Linked DNA regions of Drosophila melanogaster. The protein of the gene in region 4 interacts with the protein of the main gene of each other region in a pairwise test. Each region holds a gene or a part of one and is shown on either strand. Other genes may lie near its edges.

The links.
Region 1: the proteins of CG6569 (region 4) and bdwf interact in a two-hybrid assay, tested with the Drosophila melanogaster proteins (one large-scale study listed by BioGRID).
Region 2: the proteins of CG6569 (region 4) and TwdlG interact in a two-hybrid assay, tested with the Drosophila melanogaster proteins (one large-scale study listed by BioGRID).
Region 3: the proteins of CG6569 (region 4) and CG12877 interact in a two-hybrid assay, tested with the Drosophila melanogaster proteins (one large-scale study listed by BioGRID).

The regions. Positions count from the first base shown.
Region 1 is NT_033777.3:17,041,314-17,045,199, reverse strand, and holds bdwf (bedwarfed), read left to right. Parts: upstream 1-2,063; 5' UTR 2,064-2,137; coding exon 2,138-2,530; intron 2,531-2,586; coding exon 2,587-3,162; 3' UTR 3,163-3,304; downstream 3,305-3,886. Other genes in the region: Patr-1 (protein associated with topo II related - 1), read right to left, coding at 1-297, 528-1,341, 1,512-1,550; Trm7-32 (tRNA methyltransferase 7-32), read right to left, coding at 3,333-3,437, 3,495-3,886.
Region 2 is NT_033777.3:4,247,832-4,253,128, forward strand, and holds TwdlG (TweedleG), read right to left. Parts: upstream 3,511-5,297; 5' UTR 2,904-3,510; intron 2,684-2,903; 5' UTR 2,091-2,683; coding exon 2,076-2,090; intron 2,015-2,075; coding exon 1,360-2,014; intron 1,187-1,359; coding exon 1,020-1,186; 3' UTR 892-1,019; downstream 1-891. Other genes in the region: TwdlF (TweedleF), read left to right, coding at 1-353; CG14644 (uncharacterized protein), read right to left, coding at 4,147-4,411, 4,467-4,983, 5,045-5,144.
Region 3 is NT_033777.3:27,705,290-27,711,685, reverse strand, and holds CG12877 (uncharacterized protein), read right to left. Parts: upstream 4,587-6,396; 5' UTR 4,477-4,586; coding exon 4,368-4,476; intron 4,310-4,367; coding exon 2,888-4,309; intron 2,830-2,887; coding exon 2,319-2,829; intron 2,061-2,318; coding exon 1,467-2,060; intron 1,410-1,466; coding exon 1,150-1,409; intron 1,073-1,149; coding exon 993-1,072; 3' UTR 829-992; downstream 1-828. Other genes in the region: CROT (carnitine O-octanoyltransferase), read left to right, coding at 5,845-6,222, 6,299-6,396.
Region 4 is NT_033777.3:21,865,672-21,870,204, reverse strand, and holds CG6569 (uncharacterized protein), read left to right. Parts: upstream 1-2,285; 5' UTR 2,286-2,361; coding exon 2,362-2,396; exon of another isoform or gene 2,397-2,460; coding exon 2,461-2,800; intron 2,801-2,850; coding exon of another isoform or gene 2,851-2,853; exon of another isoform or gene 2,854-2,878; coding exon of another isoform or gene 2,879-2,911; exon of another isoform or gene 2,912-2,940; coding exon 2,941-3,438; intron 3,439-3,495; coding exon 3,496-3,695; intron 3,696-3,754; coding exon 3,755-3,962; 3' UTR 3,963-4,032; downstream 4,033-4,533. Other genes in the region: CG31174 (uncharacterized protein), read left to right, coding at 691-986, 1,044-1,166, 1,223-1,415; lsn (larsen), read right to left, coding at 4,033-4,180, 4,244-4,390, 4,458-4,533.

The DNA.
Region 1 (3,886 bases), 4.8 Mb from region 4:
GCATCGCGAAATTGTTCAGGGCCGTGGGCAGAGCTTGTGGATTGGGTAGAGGTCGCTGGTTGCCGCCGGGCAGTGGAAAGTTGTGCGGCATGTGCTGCTGCATTAGAGGATGCTGGGGCAATTGCGGAATATTCCCGGGCAGACCTTGCGGGTAAATAAATCCGGGCGGCACTCGGTTGCCACCAATACCGTTTAGTTGTTGCTGCGACGATGGCGTGGGCAGTAGCTCGGGTCCGGGGAAACCCAAATTTGGCCTCGGTGGAGAGGTGTGCGGCGTGCCCAAGAAGCCAGGGGGTACTGCAATGAATTGTTAAATGGTGTTATTTTCATATGTCGCAGAAATCTATCAGGGACTTGAAGTTTGTTCCTTAAATGGTTAAATCTGTCTTAAAAATTGTCCCCAAAAATAGATTCGTAAGAAATAAATATTTTTAGGAATTATACTTTTTGTTGGACATGTTTTCTTTTTAAATACTGAGGCCTGTTTTTGTATGCATCAATACTTTTTAGTTTTAATATATAATTACCCTTGTGCTGCGCTTGTTGTGGCGGCTGCTGCTGCGACTGTTGTTTCTGATGATGCTGCTGCTGCAACATCTGTTGCTGCAACATGGTTGGTGTAGGCACCTGCTGCCTGTTACCCAGACTAAAATCATCAAACATTTTGCGTTCCGCCTGTTGCTGGCTCTGCTGCTGTTGTTTCGGAATGGCCTGCTGAATGATCATATTGCGCTCTATATCCTCGAGAGTTGTAATTTTTGGAAAAGGCTGTGGATTCAGTGCAAAGTTGGCATTCGCTTCCTGCGGTGGCTTCATTTGTTGTGGTTGGTGCTGCTGATGTTGCTGCTGCTGTGGCTTGAAGGCGCTGCGCATAGGCTCGCGGAACAAATGTTGGTTGTTGGGAAACGGCTGTGATCCCCAGACCCCGGAGTCCAGCTTAATGCGGTTGCTCAGCCCACCGGCTTCGCTATCAGTGGTGAAAGAGGACAGGTCCATGTCGTCCAACTTCATGGAGGAAATGTTTAGCTCCAAGTCCGAGTCCCCTATGTGACGAGACTGTCGGAAGGGGGCATTCAAAGGGGCCGGAGTGGAGCCGCTTGAAGAGGGCGCCGATGATAGCGGATTAGCGTGTCGCAGGAAGGCACCATTTCCCTGATCGGCAAAATCCGTATTTCCACTAGATTCCGCGGGTCGCTTCCGCACCCTTTCGCCATTCCCGCCCAGGCGTACCATCGTCTCATGGGCTTCCTCCCAGTCGCCATTTATAGCGGATCCAAAGGTTTCGTCATTGAGGGCATCGTATTCCGCCTCGACGATGCGTCCATCGCCACCATCTTCGTCCTGGAGAAACAATTGAAGCAAGTAAATTAGACATTCCTACTTTTTCTGCCCCCGGTGGCCTTCGATGCCCCCTTATTTGCCGAGTGAAAAGTGTGCGTTGGGCATTTGCCGACCCCTGTGCGGCCCGCTATCCCGGATATTGCAGCCGCAATGTCGGGACCGCTGCTTACCGGTAGATTCGTGTCAAAGCCGAAAAACGAGTCATCCATGGCGATAAATCTATTGCTTTACAAAAAATTATCATGACTTGTCAGTGACAAGTTGTCACCTCAGCAGTATAGCTGTCAAAATATCGATGGTACTATCGATAGTCTGACGTCGATGGTTTTCTGACTATCGCCACAATACATCAATTTCGCTCGCATATAAATATTATCATATTACAAATGTTGGAATTAACATGCAAATTTAAAATATATATTTTTTTCATACGTTTTTTTTCAATAGGTGAACGACTGAAGATTTGTCTAAATTTATAAGTTTGCATTTTGCTACAGTGATGTTAGAAAAAAATGATGATTTAACCACTGCCAAATTTCGTATGTTGCATATTTATTTATTCAGTTTGGGACTTACCACGACTGGTTAATAAGTCAACAACATTAGATTTTACTGATCAATGAAAAATCTGCCCTAATTAAGGTGCATTTGCACTCCTTCAATGTATTCGATATTTTGAACTAGTTCGAAACTTGAAATCAGCGCCCGCAAGCTCATCCCTAAATTACTAGTTCTTGAACTATTGCTTTGGACGGAACTACGAGCCTGTTTCCTTTTCCAAAACAACTTAGTCGAAATGAAGCGGAAAACGAGCGAGATCTGGTGCTTTTTCCGGGCGGTGGACGACACGTTTGCGGTGTGTAATATCTGCAAGGCGAAGCTCTCTTACAAGACGACCACCACGAATCTAAGCAAGCACATGAACAGGATGCACCCCACATCGGGACTCAACCGGAACTCCAAGTACAAATTCCAGCCGCAGACCACCATCGCCATCGACCGGAACAAAGCCAAGCCGCGCAACTCAACGCAAGAGCTGATATTGTTAGAATTCGTGAAGAAACATCCGCGTCTGCTTCAGAATCCGACGTGGGAAACACGGGGCAATCTGGAGTCGCTGTGGGAGGAACTGTCATCCGAACTTAATAGCCACGGTCCGCCGCGAAAAGATATAGCCACCTGGAGAAGGGTATTCTAACTTACTTTTTTTCTAACCGCTTGCATTATAAGTTGATTTGTTTGTAGGCCTTAAAGGACTGGAAGAGGTTTATCCTGAGAAAGGTGGAAAAGAATGAGATGCAGAACATGCCTTTTGGCACCAGTCTTACTTCGTCGGAGGAAACAATAGCCACACTGTGTAGATTAAACGAGGATGTAAGTCAGATTATTATGAAGGTCTCCGACGATGAAATGCATGAGAATTCCACCACGGAATTTGATGTGGACGAAGTAGAGGATGTGGTCCCGGAAGAAGATGGTGGCGCCCTTCAGACTTCCGCCGAGTACGTTTACGAACCGGAGGAGAACAAAACGGACATTGACCCGCTTTACCTGCAATCTAACAAACGGGCCGCATTGGCCAGCAGTCGACTGGCGGAGGAGGAGACCACACTGCTTGACAAGATTAGCAATAACCTAGAAATGGTGCACGATACCGCCAACAGCGTTCAACTTGCACTCAATGAATTTTTTGTCCTGTACAAGCAGAAGCTGTACGAGGACAAGCGACATCACTTGGCAATTGAACAGTTAATGGCTGAGAAAATAGAACTGAAAAAGAAACTATTGGAAATCGAGCAAAAAAAGCTGTCGCTCAAATAACGGGATATGCACAAAATTAAGTAATATCTTGGTAGTCTTAATAACCTAATCTTTAAATAATCTAAGTTATTCAATATTTTGATTAATTTTATCACATTTCTTTTAGCTTGGCCCAAGCCCACTTAATATACAAATTTAATTTAATTTTTTTGGTTTTATTTTATAAATATTTAGATAATATGGCGTTGTTCATCATAGACTTGCTTTAGAATCTCTTTAAATTCCAGGGGATAAGATGCGTCGTCCATAACAGCATCGTAAACATACTCTAAATTCTGTGGGAAAGATGGTTGAATAAAAAAACAAAGCAAAGTATTAGGCACATCACTTACTGATTTGGATTCATCTGAGGAGGAAGTCTTGCCCTCTTCGGGATCACTCAACCCATTTAAGTCTCCACAGGCTATAAAAGGAACTAGACGACGGTTTACTTCCGACCCTGTTTTCTGTGCCAGTAGCCGTATATCATCGCGAGCAGGGTTAATCACTTGAGGAATGTAGCCCTCGGGAAGGCAAAAATCGGAGCAAACCACAAAAGCTTCAATGCTCGAAGGACGCGAACTCGGTGGCTTGTAGATGTCGAATTTTTTGAAAAATATCTGCATCTGGGAGCTCAATAGCGATGTGGCATTTCCCTTAAAAATCTTGGCCACAAAAGTTCCGCCAGTTTCCAGCACACAGGTGGCAATGCTGAGAGCAGCCACAAGTAACTGGTGCTGCATGT
Region 2 (5,297 bases), about 18 Mb from region 4:
ACAAGACCCAGGAAGAGGCCCAGCGCGCCCAGCAGGAAATCCAGGCCCAGTACGACGCCTTGGGAGGTGCAACCCACATTTCGGACGAGGGAGTGGCTCCCATCGCCAGCGTTTCGAGTGGCTCCCTTAACCTGGGCAGCTTTGTGCCCCAGCACTCCCAAGCTGGCCAAACCATCATCCACTCTCAGGCGCCAACCATTATCCAGCCACAGGGTCAGCCCATTGTTCAGCTGCAGTCTATTAACCAGGGGGTCCAGGGGGTCCAGCAGCAGAGCTCCTTTGTGCAGAAGTCCACCTCCTCATTCGCTCCCTCGGCGCCATCAAGGAAGTATGTGCCGGCAAAGACTTTTTAAAAAGTTGTAGTAAGAATCCTATCGCTTTCATTGTTTTATATCAACCATCATACTGTAGTAAATTTTAATTTATTTTTAATGCAAAAGTCGAAAGTCGAAAGAAATATAAAAAAATTTAAATCGAAACCCAAAAAGCCTTCTGTTTCTAGTACTCGTTTTTAAGTTTAATCCTTTTAATATTTTAGATAGGTTTTGTTTTAGGATTTGGAATTAATCTTTCATTTAAGGCATAGCTTGAGTTTAATGTTTCTTATGAAAACGCTGTTTATTTTTATCACAAAAATGTTTCAATGGGCTAAGAGACTATGACAATGACTTCTTTCTCGCAAGAAAGTTTGGACCATCTCTTTTGGCATTAAGCCAACAGCCATAATAATCAAGTTTTCGTGTGGCTTAATCGTTGTTATGTAAGTCAAATCACATGCTAATTTATGCGACCGGTTTTCGGCTTGGATGGCTGTCATTGGACTAATGGATGTGGTAACATGGTCCATAGAAAACTATTTTGTTACTTTGAAGTATTGAAACTCGATTTCATATTTGAATATGGCTGCAGAGTCGCTTTCTATCATAAGGCGGAGCTCAAAATATGAACTTTATTTAACTAAATGTGTAAATTACAAGAGTTCAAGTCTTAAAATTACGACAGTGGCCTTGGAGTTGTACCTAAGCACGCAGATTAGTTGGCAAGTAGCTGTTTGGCAAGGAGCCAGAAAACTGTCCGGATGAAATTCCGTTGTTGCGCTGGTTGTCCAGTACGCCAATCACGGATGTAACGGGTGCAACTCCCTCGTCAGAAACCTGTGATGTTCCGCCAAGCTGGTCATATTGAGCTAAAAGAAGTAAATCGGTTAAAAATCGGGTAATAAAAATTTGGACAAGCCAGATTAATTGGTCGATAGACATTTCTATGAAGCTTGCAAATCGAAACATTTGAGGTCTGTTGCATACTGATGAGGTCTTCAAGTGTGTCTCATAGCATCTGCTCGATGCGGGTGTTGCTCACCTTGAATGGTACGTTGCGCATGCGCAGCTTCCTCCTGGGTCTTGTATTTGATGAAAAATACCTCTGGCTTGCTGGGCTGCTTCGGCGCGATTTCCTCGATGGCAGTCTGGAGATCTAGTGGGTCCGGCTTCTTGGTCAGCACATAGATGATGGTCTTCTCCTCCACAGGAGCCTGTTTGATGCGCAACGCCGCCTTCGAGACACTGGTCGTCGGTGCCTTGATGAAAACTATGCGATAATGCTTGCGCGGAGGCGCGGGCGGAAGGACGGGCTGAGGGTAGCGGTCCTCGGGCTCTTCTGCTGGTGGCACATGGACGTAGATGTCCTTGGAGACGAGGTGCTGCTGCTGAGGCTGATGTGCCTGGGGCAGCGCATTGTACGCCGAATTTGGGCCGAACTGCGTCGCCTGCTGTTGGTAAGCGGAGGCCTGGTTTTGATTTGAGTAAGATGCGAGCCCTTCTCCTCCGGTCAGGACCTGCTGCAACTTTGGAGCCTGGAGTGCCTGCTGAAGGATCGTCTGCTCCGCAAGGGTGGCAAACTGCGGAATAGAAGGCAGATGGAGTTGACCAGCTTGCGCCGACGATTGAAGCTGTTGCTGGGCTTGGTAGTTGTATCCTTGAGGAATGCCGGCTGCAAGTCCTAGGAGGCACGGCACCTATAAAACTAAGTCATTACTATTGGTGCTTGGACACCTCGGCTGACACTAGAGGGCTTACAATGAAGAAATGCATTTCCGATTGAGTTGAAGACACCGGTCCCTTGGCAATCAAAATTCAACTAAATGCTAATCACTAGCCGCCCAGACTTTTATGTCGCTGACTCGATAATGTCGGTACGAAAAAGTTGTGTCCGCAACGCAAAGTTTAAATGAAACTGAAACCACAAACGCTCAAGCCGCACGAAAACTCGCTTGCGTTTTCATACAACCTTGAGGTAACGGTAACTTTTTGGGAACTCACCCAAAACCCTAAAGCTCTCGAGCTTCAACTTAGGGCCAAGTCGAAAGCGTCGTCTAGTTGGAAGTCTTGTGCGATGGACACATACAAATGTGGAGATTAGTTTGGCACATCCATTTCTCTAGCTTTTGAGGTGATCATGATGGTGGATATTTGTTGCTGTTGATGGCCGATCATAATTGACGAACCTTTGCAACGCAAAATCTCGAATCGCAACTTGCATTGATCACACAATAGTCTCATTTAAAATGGCGTCTACCTGGAAAACTTTCGCTTTTTCACTATGTCTTAATGAATTTCAGAAATTGCTTTGGTTTCCGATGACCCAATTATTAAATTGTAATTGGTACATAGTTGCACAATTTGATCTATAACATAATATGTATTTTCTGTATTATATTTTCAGCATTTAGCTGACGAAAAAAGGCAAGTCCTAATGCTTAAATCAATGTCCGTCATAGCATGGGTCATAATTGGGGGCCCTGTTGGGCCAGGTAAGTGGTGCTGACGATTTGATATATGACTGGAGATTTATCAAAACACAAATGGCAGTGCGGGCCAAGATGAAGCACAATCGCTTCAAATTACCGTGTGGCGTGCGTTTCTTCCCCGATCCGTTACGAGTACGCAAATACTGCGGCATCACACTTATGATCGACTTATTATGCAAGCCACCCGTTCACACGAGCTGTGGCGCCCCCGCAATCAGCAAATTGTGGGCATCGGCAACTCCTGGTGCTTTTCTCCGACCTAATCTTGCAGACAAAAGATAAGAGCGTCTTGGCCCACGGAGTTACGCAATGGTATCTACACTGAGTCCGCGGCTTTTTGGCGCACTCTTTGGATACGCCGCAGAAATGTACTTCGTTTACAGCTCTTCCCTGTTCAAATTTCAAACTTCATTAATTTTTATTTCATGGCGTTTCGTGTGTCGGCTATTTGCATGGCCAAGGCTTATGGCGCCTACATTAGGATTGAATTAAATAATTAAAATATAGAAATACCAAAAACAATCAATAATAAGTGGGCACAGGTCATCCGCAGAAAATGATTGCTGATTGCTTAATGTTGGACATCCAGTCGAGTGATTTTCTTTAAGCCCAGGTAAAATAACATTGAATAATTTTGCACACTTATATTATTGATTATAAATTTGAATTCCTTTTCAAGCGCACGATCTGACTGGTTTTGTGTTATTAGATTGAAAATATGTTGAAATATATATGTAAGTACAAACTGCAAATCCAAAAGCTCATATTAAACTCGGCAAAGTTTTTTCTGGGAGTTGGTTTAGACATCGAATGAAATAGCTTTCTTTGACAAAAGCTTTGGAGATTTCTAACTGACAGCAGCGAAGTCCCGGGGCAAATATTGGACATTATTTGGTCTTTTTAAAATGAAATATAAACAGCAAATAGTAAATACTACGACAGTGACGTCGTATAGTACGTGTAATCTTTTGAGTTTGTGGCTAATAACGAGCCTTGAGTTGAAAATAGTATTGTATCAATACAATACACCTTGACCAAATAAATACAGCATCTGAAATTTGTACATCCGGCAAGCAATTATCGAAGTTACGGTTTTTTTTTTGCTTATTTAAAGCAAAGTACTGGGGCATTTCCCCTTATCTGCTAGAAAATATCGATTTAATTTACTGTAAGATGGTAGTATGCTTCTAATATATGGTGTTAAACGATTTCGAAACTGTGTGTCCAGAGAAATGTTTCGGATTGGGTCCCCTCTTCAGATGAACTAAATTCTATTTAATAGGTAAGTAATTTTTATATGGAACGTACATAAAAACGGAACGCATTTTCTGAATTCAATCCTACTTCATCAAATTCCTCACAATGTCTACAGGAAAAGGAAAGACGTAGGACCGGGTGTCATCATTGCAGATGGAGTTCAGTGTTTGCAAGTACCGTAGCTGCAGGGCTATGGGGTTGGTCTCCATTATGTCGGCAGCCTCCTTCAGAGCAGTTACCGCATCTCGCTCCCCCTGCGCCGCGGCCACCTTGGCCTTGGCCTCACGCATCGCCTCCTGTTCCACAGCCAGGGCGCGCTTCAGTTGATCAGGCATGAAGATCTCCTTGCTGCCGAATATATCATAACGCATTATTGATCCATTGTAAGACAAAAAGTACTTACATCTCGACCCGTTCCACGCGTATGCCCCAGGGCTCTGTGGAGTTGTACAATATACCCTCTATTTGGTTGGAGAGGTACTCCTTGGACGAGAGCAAATCCATTAGCTTGTGGGTGCCGGCCACGTTACGCAGCGTGGTCATTGCTAGCTTCTCGGTCGCCTCCTCCGGATCGTATACTTGCAGCATGGCGTCGAATGGGCTCTTGATGCTGTAGTACACCACTCCGTCGATGCTGATCGTCACCATGTCACGAGTGAGGATTTCCTGTCTATGTAGGTCAAATGACCTGGTACGTATGTCCACAACAGCGAGGTCATCAATGCAGGGCACGAGAAAGATGACGCCTGGCCCCCTCGGGGGCTTAGGGCGCAGGCGACCCAGGCGCAGGATTACCGCTCGCTCGTACTCCGACATTACCCTGAGACAGCAGAATAGGGACCACGGCAGGCAAAGGACTATCAGAATCATGGACAGCACAAACAACGTTTTCTCCGCACAAGTTGGTGGAACATTCTCACCTATGAAATCGCAAATTGCTGTAGTCCCTCGGAATATCTTAGCTTTTATTGGGGGATTTACTTGTTTTTACATTACGCTGAGGTAACAGTGATTCATCGTGGAACACGTTTACCGAGGAGCTCTGAGCAAGCAAAGCAGGGGTCGTCGGATTATTGTCCATTACATTAGATTTAGAAGATCGTGTAAGGTGACAGTGTATTCAACTACGACTATAGATAACAAAAACTCAAATACAGTTTTGATAAAAGCATTATGGGTAGTTTATGTGTGAAAAGAATCCGTTTGGGTTTTAATGGGAAGCGGAGGCTTATAT
Region 3 (6,396 bases), 5.8 Mb from region 4:
GTGTGTGCTCCTGTGGCCGTTGGGCCTGCTCCTCATACTGGGCCACATATGCACATTGTCATTGCCAAGTAGCACTAATATTATTTACTTTTCGTTAGGTTGTGTTGTGCCAGCTCAATAGATAAACACGTGTCGCCATCAGCCATTTCCCGCAAGGATTGGGGTTTGGGATCCCACTTAATGCCTATGGCTCCTCCTGTCATTCGGTGGAGCTGGAGCTGGCCGGGGGCAACAATTATGCCGAATTAAGTGCTGAAACTTTGGCTGCATTCTCAATAAGCCAAACTTTTACCGGAACGCACAGAACGGAAAATTATAAAACGTTAAAATTGAAAAATCATGCGCCAGTGAGGAGCAACCAGAAGCCAATATCCAGATGGTGCCCACGGCCAGCAGACGAGGCCGAGTATAATTGAAAAATATAAAGTATCGCCGCAATCTGATTAAAATTACATTTAAATAATAACAACAAAAACAAGGCGGCCAACCTGGGGGCGGGACGAGGGCAGCGGCGAATATTCTGTGATGTGCGTCAGGCACGAAACTTGCAATTACAGTTTGTAACGCGGTGGCAGGTAAAAAACTTTACAAAACTTTCCAATTGCTTTTCATTGAATTGTTATCGATAGTGAAGAGAATGGAAAAAACGCAAGGAAAAATGGGCAAGGCAAAAATAGAGAAAAATGAACAAATATACCTGGTTGAAGGCTCGAGGTAAGAAATTCTTCAAAGGACTCGCCAAATCCGTAGCGTACTGTACAGCGTTCTTTAAGTTCCATGTGCCACACTTCAATCACTTTAAATTGGCATTTAAAGCAAGCTTTACTTATTTTTCGCTGTCATCGCTTGGTGATATATTTATACAGTTTGATTTTACATAATATGGTTAGCTTAAAGGCTAAGGCTTTGATTTTTGATGGGCATGATATACATATTAACAGATGTACGTAATGCTTTTGAACTGAATGCTTGCGATGGTGCGTGATAGCAGCTCAACTGATTTTGTTGCGCAGATAATACTTGATGAGCTGAATGCACACCTCAGCATCCTCGGCACTGTCGTGGCCAGCCTCTGTGGAAGAAGGAAATATAATAATTATAATAAACTTCTTACGTCAAGTGATAAAGTAAAAGACTAGACACACTCACCGCTCTCCTGTATAATCCGCTTTAGGTTTTCAATGCACAGTGTTTTCAGAGCTCGCTTCTTTGGCGGTCCCATCTTGTGGGGAAACAGCACCGATGTGTCCACCACAACGTCGTGAATGAGTTTGAGTGCCTTCAAATCGCTCTCCAGACTGTGGCCAACGAGCACGGTTTTGGCATGGAACATGGACATCAGCACCGCCTGAACGTCGCGTATGGTACGCGTCTCATTGGAGAGCATCGCCTCCGTGATGCCCGAGTAGCTGAAGTCAGAGTATTGCAGATTAATACGAAACAACCGAAAAGCTACATTCACCCACGTCGTATTGTAGTCCACAATCTGGTTGTCCGGCTTGACAAGAGCATCGTAAACGCTGCGTCCATTTATGTCCACCACCGTAACGCGGGTTAGCTCTATTCCGTGTGTGGTATAACACATCTCGCAATCCAGTGCATATATGTCCTTCTTAGTGGGCACAAATTCCTCACCCCGTTCGATCGTCTTCACGAAACAGGTGAGCTTTTCCGGATCGTAATAGTCGCTGACGTGGTAGTTGGCATAGGTGCAGCCTGGAGTGCCCGCCGGCTGCTGGCAGCAGCGATGCTGGTGGTCCGTGAATCCTCGTCGATATCCCGTGCTTTTCGGATGGTAGTTGCACATGTCAAAGCTCTGGTGCTCGTATATGTCCAAGCTGAATACCTTGCCGCAGCGGGAACAGTAGCGCTCTTTCTGGTTGGGACGACGGTTGGGGCGGCAGGCGCGTATCACTGCGGATCCGCGCTTATCGCCCGGACGCGGATATCCGTTCTCCACCAGCTGCTCTTCAGTCAGGCGAAGATCGAATACCATTTTGTAAGCTTTCTCGGCGTCTAAAGCATCGAAAGGTTCGCCATTGCCCAAGGAGCTCAGTTTTCTGCAATAGATATATATTTAATGTTTGTTAGGGTAAAGATATCAAAAACTTTTTATATGCAATTGAAATGTTAGAAATACGTACAAATGTCATAAAAGTTAACATTCATGACTTCCAGGAAGAAATGTGAAGTCATAAAGAGAAATTATGCTTATGTTTACGTTTATGCTTGTGGCCAGTGGCAGTATTTACAATTAAGCGAATTTCATCTTATAATGTGCACATAGAGAATAACTATAGTTTAGTATACAAACCCACCCCTTTTTCTCTACGCTCCAGGATGTGGTGAGCGCCCGCTTGCCGCCCAGCATCATCTCGTGCGACACAGTCTTGCAGGCTACGCTCGGCTTGTTTCCCGCCTCTAAGGCCTCCTTGCGGAGCTTGTTAATCGCCAGCATGCAGCTGTTCTTGTAGATGGCAGGCGTGTTGCACTTCTTAAAGACGGTCAACTCCTCCACCTGGGCGCGCTCCCAGGCATCTGCCAGCTGCGGATAGATGACGGTGCAGTGCCTTACCATCATCTCATAATACTGAATGCGCACGTTGTATGATATCTTGGAGCTGCTGGGATCTAGGACGGTTGGCTTCTCCGCGTTGGACACAGGAGCCGCTTTGTCTAGCGCAGCAGTGGGCTTGTGAGCCACACGGCCGGCGCCCTTGAATGATTGTGCAGGCGTAAAGGCTGGCTTCTTCTCGGCCTGCAGCTCCTCGATCTTTTTTTTGGCCCGAGCGATGGCCACAATGTTGGCCACAGGTGCTATGCTGCGAGCTGGTAACCAAAAATATTTGAATTTGAATTATTATATATTCCAAAGTGGTATGCTCACCTGATCGCACTGGTGGGGTCAGAGCACTTCGCGAAATAAGTGGCGTGAGGTTGGAGTTGACCTTGGCCTGACGGAGCTCCTCCTGCGCTTGGCGCACCCGCTCCTGTGCCTGACGTACCTGCTCCGCTGAGGCTTCGGCTTGTAGCTTCTCCTGGCGCCGCAGCTCCGCGCGGCGGTTGAAGATCGCCTGCATGGCATTACGGACGTGATTGGGTTTGCGCATCGCCGCCGAAGGAGCCAAATGAGGCGTGATCTTGTCAGCATTCTCGTGGGCCACCCGGCGCTTCTGCAGAGCCGCCGTGGCTGCCTCGGTGAAGGTATCAATGTCCGGAGAAGGAGCTTTGCGCTTGCGAGAACTCTCCGGGTTGGCATTGCCGCCTTCGTCCTTGTGCATCTGCGCAAATTTTTTTTCCATCTCGTCAAAAATCATTTCACACTGGCGTACAATTTCTCCTTCCGAGGTGTCTGCTTCAAAATCAAAGTCCATGTCATCCAGATCATCCATAGGTTCTGCTGGTGTCAGTACAGCTGCTTCAGTATCCTTATCCGCCTCCGGTTCGCTCTTTGAAGTGCCAGCGCTTTTGCTGGAAGACGAGCTCCTCTTAGTTTTGGACCGTGAACTCGAGGAACTAGATTTGTGATGATGGCTCTTCGAGGAGGATGATGAAGAACTGCTCTTGTGCCTGCTACTGGAACTTTTGTCGTCGCGGTGCTTATCGCTGCTGGATGACTTTTTGCTGGAAGAGGAGCTAGATGAAGACTTGTGCTTAGAGGAACTTGAGCTTGAAGTATTTCGCTCCTTGGAGCGCTCCTTGTCGCTGTGGGAGGACTTTCGCTTATCCCTATCATTTTTTTCCTTCTCTCTGTCCCTTTCCTTGCTCTTCTCTTTGTCTTTTTCCCGGTCCCGGTCCCGGTCCCGATCCCTGTCTTTGATCTTTTCCCTTTTCAGCTCTCTGATCTTCTTCTTTTCTATATCCCTTTCCCGCTCCTTGCTGGGCTTTCGATCCTTTTCGTGGCTATCCCTAGCATCCGTCAGTTGCGTATTCTCCTGGTCCTCCTCGTTTTCAGCTACCGTATCTATCTTCTGTTCTTCGTCGTTATTCTGGACTTGCTCCTCAATCTCCACCTGCATCTGCTCATCAATTTCCTTTTCGAGTACCGCCTGCCAATCGTCATATTCTTCGCCATTTGTAACAGATGGCTGGCCGGGCACATATTTGGGAGCACTGTCCACGGACGCCTCCTGCTTCTTCTTAGCCGGCGATGCGTCAAGAGCCGGCTTCTCCGGGTGGTACTCCAGATTGGACTTCTTCCGGGGCGCACATAGCGTGATCTGGGGCAGTGGAAGGGAGAGCAACTTGGGTGCCGGCTTGTACTTGGGCACGGGGGAAGGTTCTGCAGGTGGAGCGGCCTCCAATTCGTCTGTAAACCGAGAGTGGATAGAATTTGTTGCGAAATTAACTGGACGTAATTCACTCACCTTTGCGAGCATGCTTAAAGTGGCAAAAGGGGCGCTTGCAGGACGCCGCATCCTGGCCGTCAAAGTAAGGGCACAAGAAGCCCTTAAAGAGACCCGTGGATGGCAGCATTTCCACCTCTTGCTGGGATTAGAAATTTAATAAAGCCGCTTGAGAAAACAAGCGTCCCAAATTTCTTTCTATTCTTTCTGCCTGTCTCTTTCACTCATTTCGACAGATGTCAGCTGTTTCAGCTGCTGGCGGCGTTGCCAGATAGGCGTCAGCATGGATGCTATGAATGGATGCTAAGGAATTAAATTAAATAAATTTAAATAAGTTTTAAATATTTACAAAACATTGAATGACCTATTTAATTAATAATTGTAAACAATATTCGCATTTTGTTAACGGTTACAATGTACGTTTATGGCAGTTGATTGCATCAATCCGGGAGGATTATATCTTGCGGTACGATGTACAATGCTATGCGATGTTAATAAGAATAAGATGTACGTAATAAGAATGTGGTGACTAACGGTATAAACAAATGGTGTAAAAAGTCTGGCAACTCCTGCAAACAGCTGTTTGCTGTGCCAATTTCCTATAGGGTCTTCGCCGCTTGTAAACAAAAACGCAGCAGTATAATAATAAAAATAATTGTTTAACCTATAAAATTGTTTGCTTATCTAGCCTAATGAACTTGATAGCTGCGGAACCGTTTTAATTTCGATCGAGTGCATCGCAAACTGAAGTTCGGGCGCGACATTCAACTGCCGCCTCATCGAAGGTTTGTGTGGGTGTGTCTGCTGGAATATGTTATTAAAAAAGAAATTCATATAGAAATTCAAATGAAACCGGCCATTATCGGTGGCCGACTGTCTGCAATAGCAATGATTAGGGTGATATATTATCGCACTGAGTCAGTGGACGCGGGTGGCGGATCCCACGGTGCGATAATTCAAGTGCTCCCCCTCCGGCAAGGTTTGCTGTGATATGGAACCAACCTATGGATTCAGTCGTATAACGGCAGTCTGGCGCTTCAGTTGTCTCCGGCAAAAGTGAATTCCCCATCGAGTACAAAGGTCAGTGGGCTAGAAATTCGCCTATGATTTCACCAGTGCGCCGGGAGTATAAATATTTATAAAGCTCCCCAATCCGGACTTTGTCCAGCTTGAGGAGATTAGTGAAGATAGTCGTCTAGCTGCAGTCCAAGAAAGATTACGTTCAACTTGACGCATAATCCGCTTAGTTGCACATTAAGTGTTCTTAGTTGTGTGGTATTAATTTGCACACCATTTTAATGTTTAACCTATAAGATGAGATCAATTTATTTCCGATGTGAATGTACTCAGTAATGTATTGGGTGAACTTTGGACCTGACGAACGTAAAAGCGATTCCCGATATGATTATTGTACTAATCTGACTTAGGCCTATAGAAAACCACCACACGCGCAGACTGATATCAACGATTCCAACGTGTCCCCCGCAGCTAAACCACCATGGACCGGGCTAGTCTATATTTTATGAGCAAGGATGATAAGAACACCTTCGACTTCGACGAGACCTTACCTTCGCTCCCGCTGCCGGAGCTTAGGGACACCATGGAGCGCTACTACAGCTGCATCCAGCCATTCGGGACCAAGGAGGAGTTGGCCCAGGCCCGCAAGACTATTGATGAGTTCCAAAACGGAGTGGGAGCCCAGCTGCACGAACAGCTCAAGAAGCGGGCGGCCGGCATGAGGAACTGGCTGGGCACCTGGTGGGAGGACTACGGATATCACCTGATTCGGATGCCGCTGCTGCCCTACCAGCTCATGGTCATGCCCTCGCAATTGGAAATGGTGGGCGTGCCGGAGACACCGGAGTACATGCTGAAGGTGAGTGGACCCACACCCCAAGCTCTATAAGAACACAAAGTTTAAGATTGCCTAATTGACTGTATAATTTTCGAAGAGTCTGGCGCGCCACATTCACCACTCGCTGGAGTTTTGGGATCTGACTAGAAAGTCCAGCATCAAACCGCTCTCCTCGAACGGCGGTAAAATAAAGTA
Region 4 (4,533 bases):
TCGGGCAATCCGAACGCTTTTCTAAGCCATAGATGGCCAGTTATCATGTAAATTCAAAGTGTTATTTATACAGCTCTTGTGCGAGTCACACAGTGGGTTTGGTTTTTGGTGATAAGCCATGGGTTTCAAGCGAACCCATCGATAGCCGGAGCTTATCGGGTGGTGGTGGCTTATCAAACGGCCCATAAATGGAGCAGAAGCCACCGGCTGCTCGACGCCGGAACTCCGCGATACCAACAAATGGCGTCTATAGATTGCTACAAATGGCGACAACAATGCCACCAATTTGACCAGCAGCTCCAATGCTCGCCATGCTCGAAATGCGCAACAAATCCAAATTAATTCCCAATGGGCCGGTCAACAAAAGCCCCCCAGCCAGACCACTTGATAACTTCCCGATGGGCATGTGAAACTGATTAATGTGGCATTATAAATAGGACTCAAGTATGTGGTTGGGTCTTAATCGAAATTAGCTTACTTTGGGTAAAAATAAATTTATGGTATTTACGATAAATAAACAAATGCGCTTATTACTCGAACTGATTTACTTTGTGATCGAGAAACAAATGGAAACATGTTCCCTTTGCATTTAGTTTACTATCACCATTTAATTCAGTATAAATTTATCGAGTTATTGGTCTTAAAGCCAAGGATATAAAGTTTTAGGTTTTGGTTCAGAATCAGGACGATATGGACGACTTGAACGATGTCATCGCAAATTTGAGCATTAAATCCAAGAACTTTATAGATGAGGCTGCAAAATCATTAACCCCAACAATGGTGGGATTCAAAAGAGAACCTGAGCGAAATCAAAACTGTACCTACTTTATGCAGAATACCTGCCAGCTTTATCAAAACATTTCTAAATCCCATCCCAAGATTGAAAACAGTGTTAAATTCGATGAAGATTTTGTGATGCATATGGAACCTGAGATCAAGGTGGAATGCTCTGTTGATGATCCCAATAAAGAAGTTCAAATTTTGCTGTATGATCCTAAATCATTTACGTATAATATTTACATGAACATTTTTTTTTAACACAGAAAAAAGGAACGCTTGAAGCAGAAATATATGGAAGCTTTGAAGCTGGATGAAAACCTTGAAGCTAGAGTGAAACAATCGGCCATTGAATCCAATCCCGATATGGAGGAACAACAAGCTGAATTGTGAGATCATAACTTTATTTATGATAGCATTTACTTAACTTTATTGGCATTTATAGAAGAAAACTTCACAAGGATCAAGTGGAAATGTACAAAGGTGTGCAGGAAGAAATTATGGTTTCCTTCAAGAGAGACATGGATGATCTAATGCAACAGTATGAAGCTGAGTACTCGCGACTTAGTAAGGTCCACTCTAAGTGGGTAAATTCCGAGAATGATTCCACCAATAACTCAAACACTCATCAGCCTTAGTCATCGCTTAGGAATTTTTAAGATTTTAGCATTTTATTAGTGAAATCAAAACGTATTTATGTAGTTTCTTGGGTTTTAACATTTGACAATAAAAAATATTCAGTATATCAAATATTTTGTTTATTTTATACAGCTTTTTTATCACTTTTCCTTTGGCTTCAGCTCACTTAGTTCCGTCGCGCTCGGCCAGCAGATCCAGCATCACCTCGATCTTAAGATTACACATATTGTTCTCCTCCTCGAGGGCACGAAACTTCTTGTTCAGCCGGAGCATATCATCTACGTCACCCTTTCGGGTCGAATGCATCCAGATGCCGTCCGCAAAACGCAGCTCCTTGTTGCCCAGCGTTAGGGAAATCTGGCGGAAGTCATCCAGATCCTCGGTGGCCACCGGATGTCCTATATTGCAACGTCCCTGACGCACTGGAATCGGCTTCGACTCGAACTTCTTGTTGAAGAGCGGCATTGCAAACAACTGAAACGGAAAGTTGACCACATTTCGATTACATCCCCATTTGTTTGCCACTGCCCCGTTGCCCAGGACAACAGACACTTGTCAGGGGATCAGCGTTCGCGGCAGGACTCGTGCCAGGTTTTTAATGGCTAGTAAGACCGTATCCATATGTACCTGCTTGAAGGGTAGCGGCTGGCTGTCAGAGATTGACGAGGGGCAGCAAAAGGTTGCCAGTTGCATAAAATCGGTGAAATACAGAGAACTCCTTGCTGCACGCGGGGATACGGATGGATTTCTAAGCCAAACTGCCTTCAACAGGATTTTAAATGCCTGATAATTTAAAAGACAAAGCTTGCTTCATCGCAGAAACTCGTCTCATGTCAAACATAAACATTTTGTTTGGTTCATTGATGAAATTCTATACAAACACACAATAAACCCGATACACAACTCTGCTGTGAAAAATAATATGATTCCAAACACACAACAAATATGACACAACACGAAAATCAGCAAGCCATTCTCAGGTAGGAGAGCAAAGGAAAATTTGTCAACTAAAGTTAGTCAACGCGCAGCCAATTCACCATTTAGCAACTTTGTGCTGGAAATGTGTGAAGGAGTGGATCGACTGATGCGGGATCAGGCCGAACTGAAGGTTCACCTCAACGAAATTCTAAATGAGAACCGCCGGCTGGACATCGAATTGGCCAAATGCAGGAGCATCTTGGTTAGCGGCGATTACCAGGAGCTCAAGCATCGCCTTCAACTCAGCAACAAGGCTTTGGACGCGTCCAAGAAGCAGGTGGATGAGCTTATCAAGGAACGGAACAGCCTGAAAACCATGCATGACCTCTCCAAACAGACCATCGAAACCATGGAGATGGATCTTAAGAATTATCGCGTCCAATTGAAAATGTCTGGAGATGACCAGGTATTATTGCACTTCATCATTCCAATCCCGTATTGATTATCATATTATAGTAAGCTTTGACCAAATCGTATGTTTTAGGGACCAGAGACTAATGGAAAAATCCTAAAGTAAACTTCAACGTTTTCGGAATTCAATTTTAGGTCATACAGCGGTACTCGAAGATCGTCAAAGTGCTGGAGGCAAAAGTTGAGGACCAGCAGAAGGAGATACGCACGCAGGCGGAGACCATAAAGGCCCTGCACGATCACAAGCAGCACAGCGGATTGCAACTCCAGCAGCTGCATGCTCAACTGCAGGATAGCGAGCAGAGTCAATCCAAGGTGTCCATCCTGCAGAAGCAGCTTAAGGAGTACGAACTATCGCTGAGCCACACCCACAATTTGCTCATGGAGAGCACAAGACGGGAAACCGCCGCCATGCGCAAGCTCGAGGAGGCTATCATACTCAGCGAAGAGGCAAACAAGGAGAAAATAGATGCCACAAAGCTGGCCGAGACCTACAAGGAGGAGATGACCCACCTAGCCTCCAATATCGGTACCATAATGGATGAGGCCTCCACACGCGTCGACGTTGAAGTGGGCCATCTGAAGAATATGCTCAAGCAAAAGGACATTATAATTACCACCATAAAGGAGAAGGTAAAAGTCTATATTCGTATAATAATTATCACTTATAGTTACACTTACAAATTTTAGCTGAAAAAACTGGCTGTCGATCATAAGTCGGTGGTGCACATGCTGGAGACCCGGAGCAATCGCCTGGAGCAAAAGTACAAGGAGGTGCTGAAGCAGAACGATAAGCTGGAGGCCGAGTTGGAGGCAACTTGCCGGCGACTTGGCGAACTGGAGCGATCCGTTACTGAAGCTTACGGTGGGGATGCCGAAGATGCCAGGATGTGAGTATACAACATAGACAATTAATGACAAACATGATTATAAATCATAACGCTTTTAGAAAAATGTACTATAAGTCTCAAATGGATCGCTGCATAATGGATCACAAGAAAATGAAGGAGAAATACCGCGAGGGCATGGAGGACATCACGCAACGCTTCGAATCGGAAATTTACAAGTTAAGGGAGGAGAACTCCGTGCTGCTGGCGGAAAACGAACTGCTTAAGAGCGGTGCCGCAGGCGATAGCTCCAAGCAGACTTCACGCTGATTTTACGGTTGTACAAATATATATTTTATGATAACTCTCGTACATAATAAATTAGTTCTACGAGATCACACTATGTGGCGGCCGTTGTCTGTGCGTTTCGACCGGGAAACAAACTGGGAAACCAATAGGCTGGCTCATCGCCCGCCTGCTTGTCAATCCAACAGAGACCTTCGCCGAGCACCTTGTCCAGTGACTGTTGAGCACGATAGTCGGTCCAGCTGAGAACGGATAACACGGAAATCAAAGGGATATTCAGTTGAAAGTACAAGTGAAATTCTTACCCCAAATCCTTGATCAGCTGACTCTGCGTAACACAGCCTTGTTCGGTATTGGATGCGGCATTCAGTATGTTGGTCTCCTCCATGCTCAGCTCTCCGGGAATGGACTGAACTATGTACTTGCCCTTGCCCAGCTTGTGAACCACAAAGCTGAAGGTACGTTATGGAAAACGAGAAACTTGTGATATTGAATGCAAGCAGAGGTAATGACCCATACCCGTTGCCAAAAATGCTCAATTTCTTAGCGGCCATTAGGATGTCCTCCTTGGTGATCTCCTGGTGCACTGAACTCT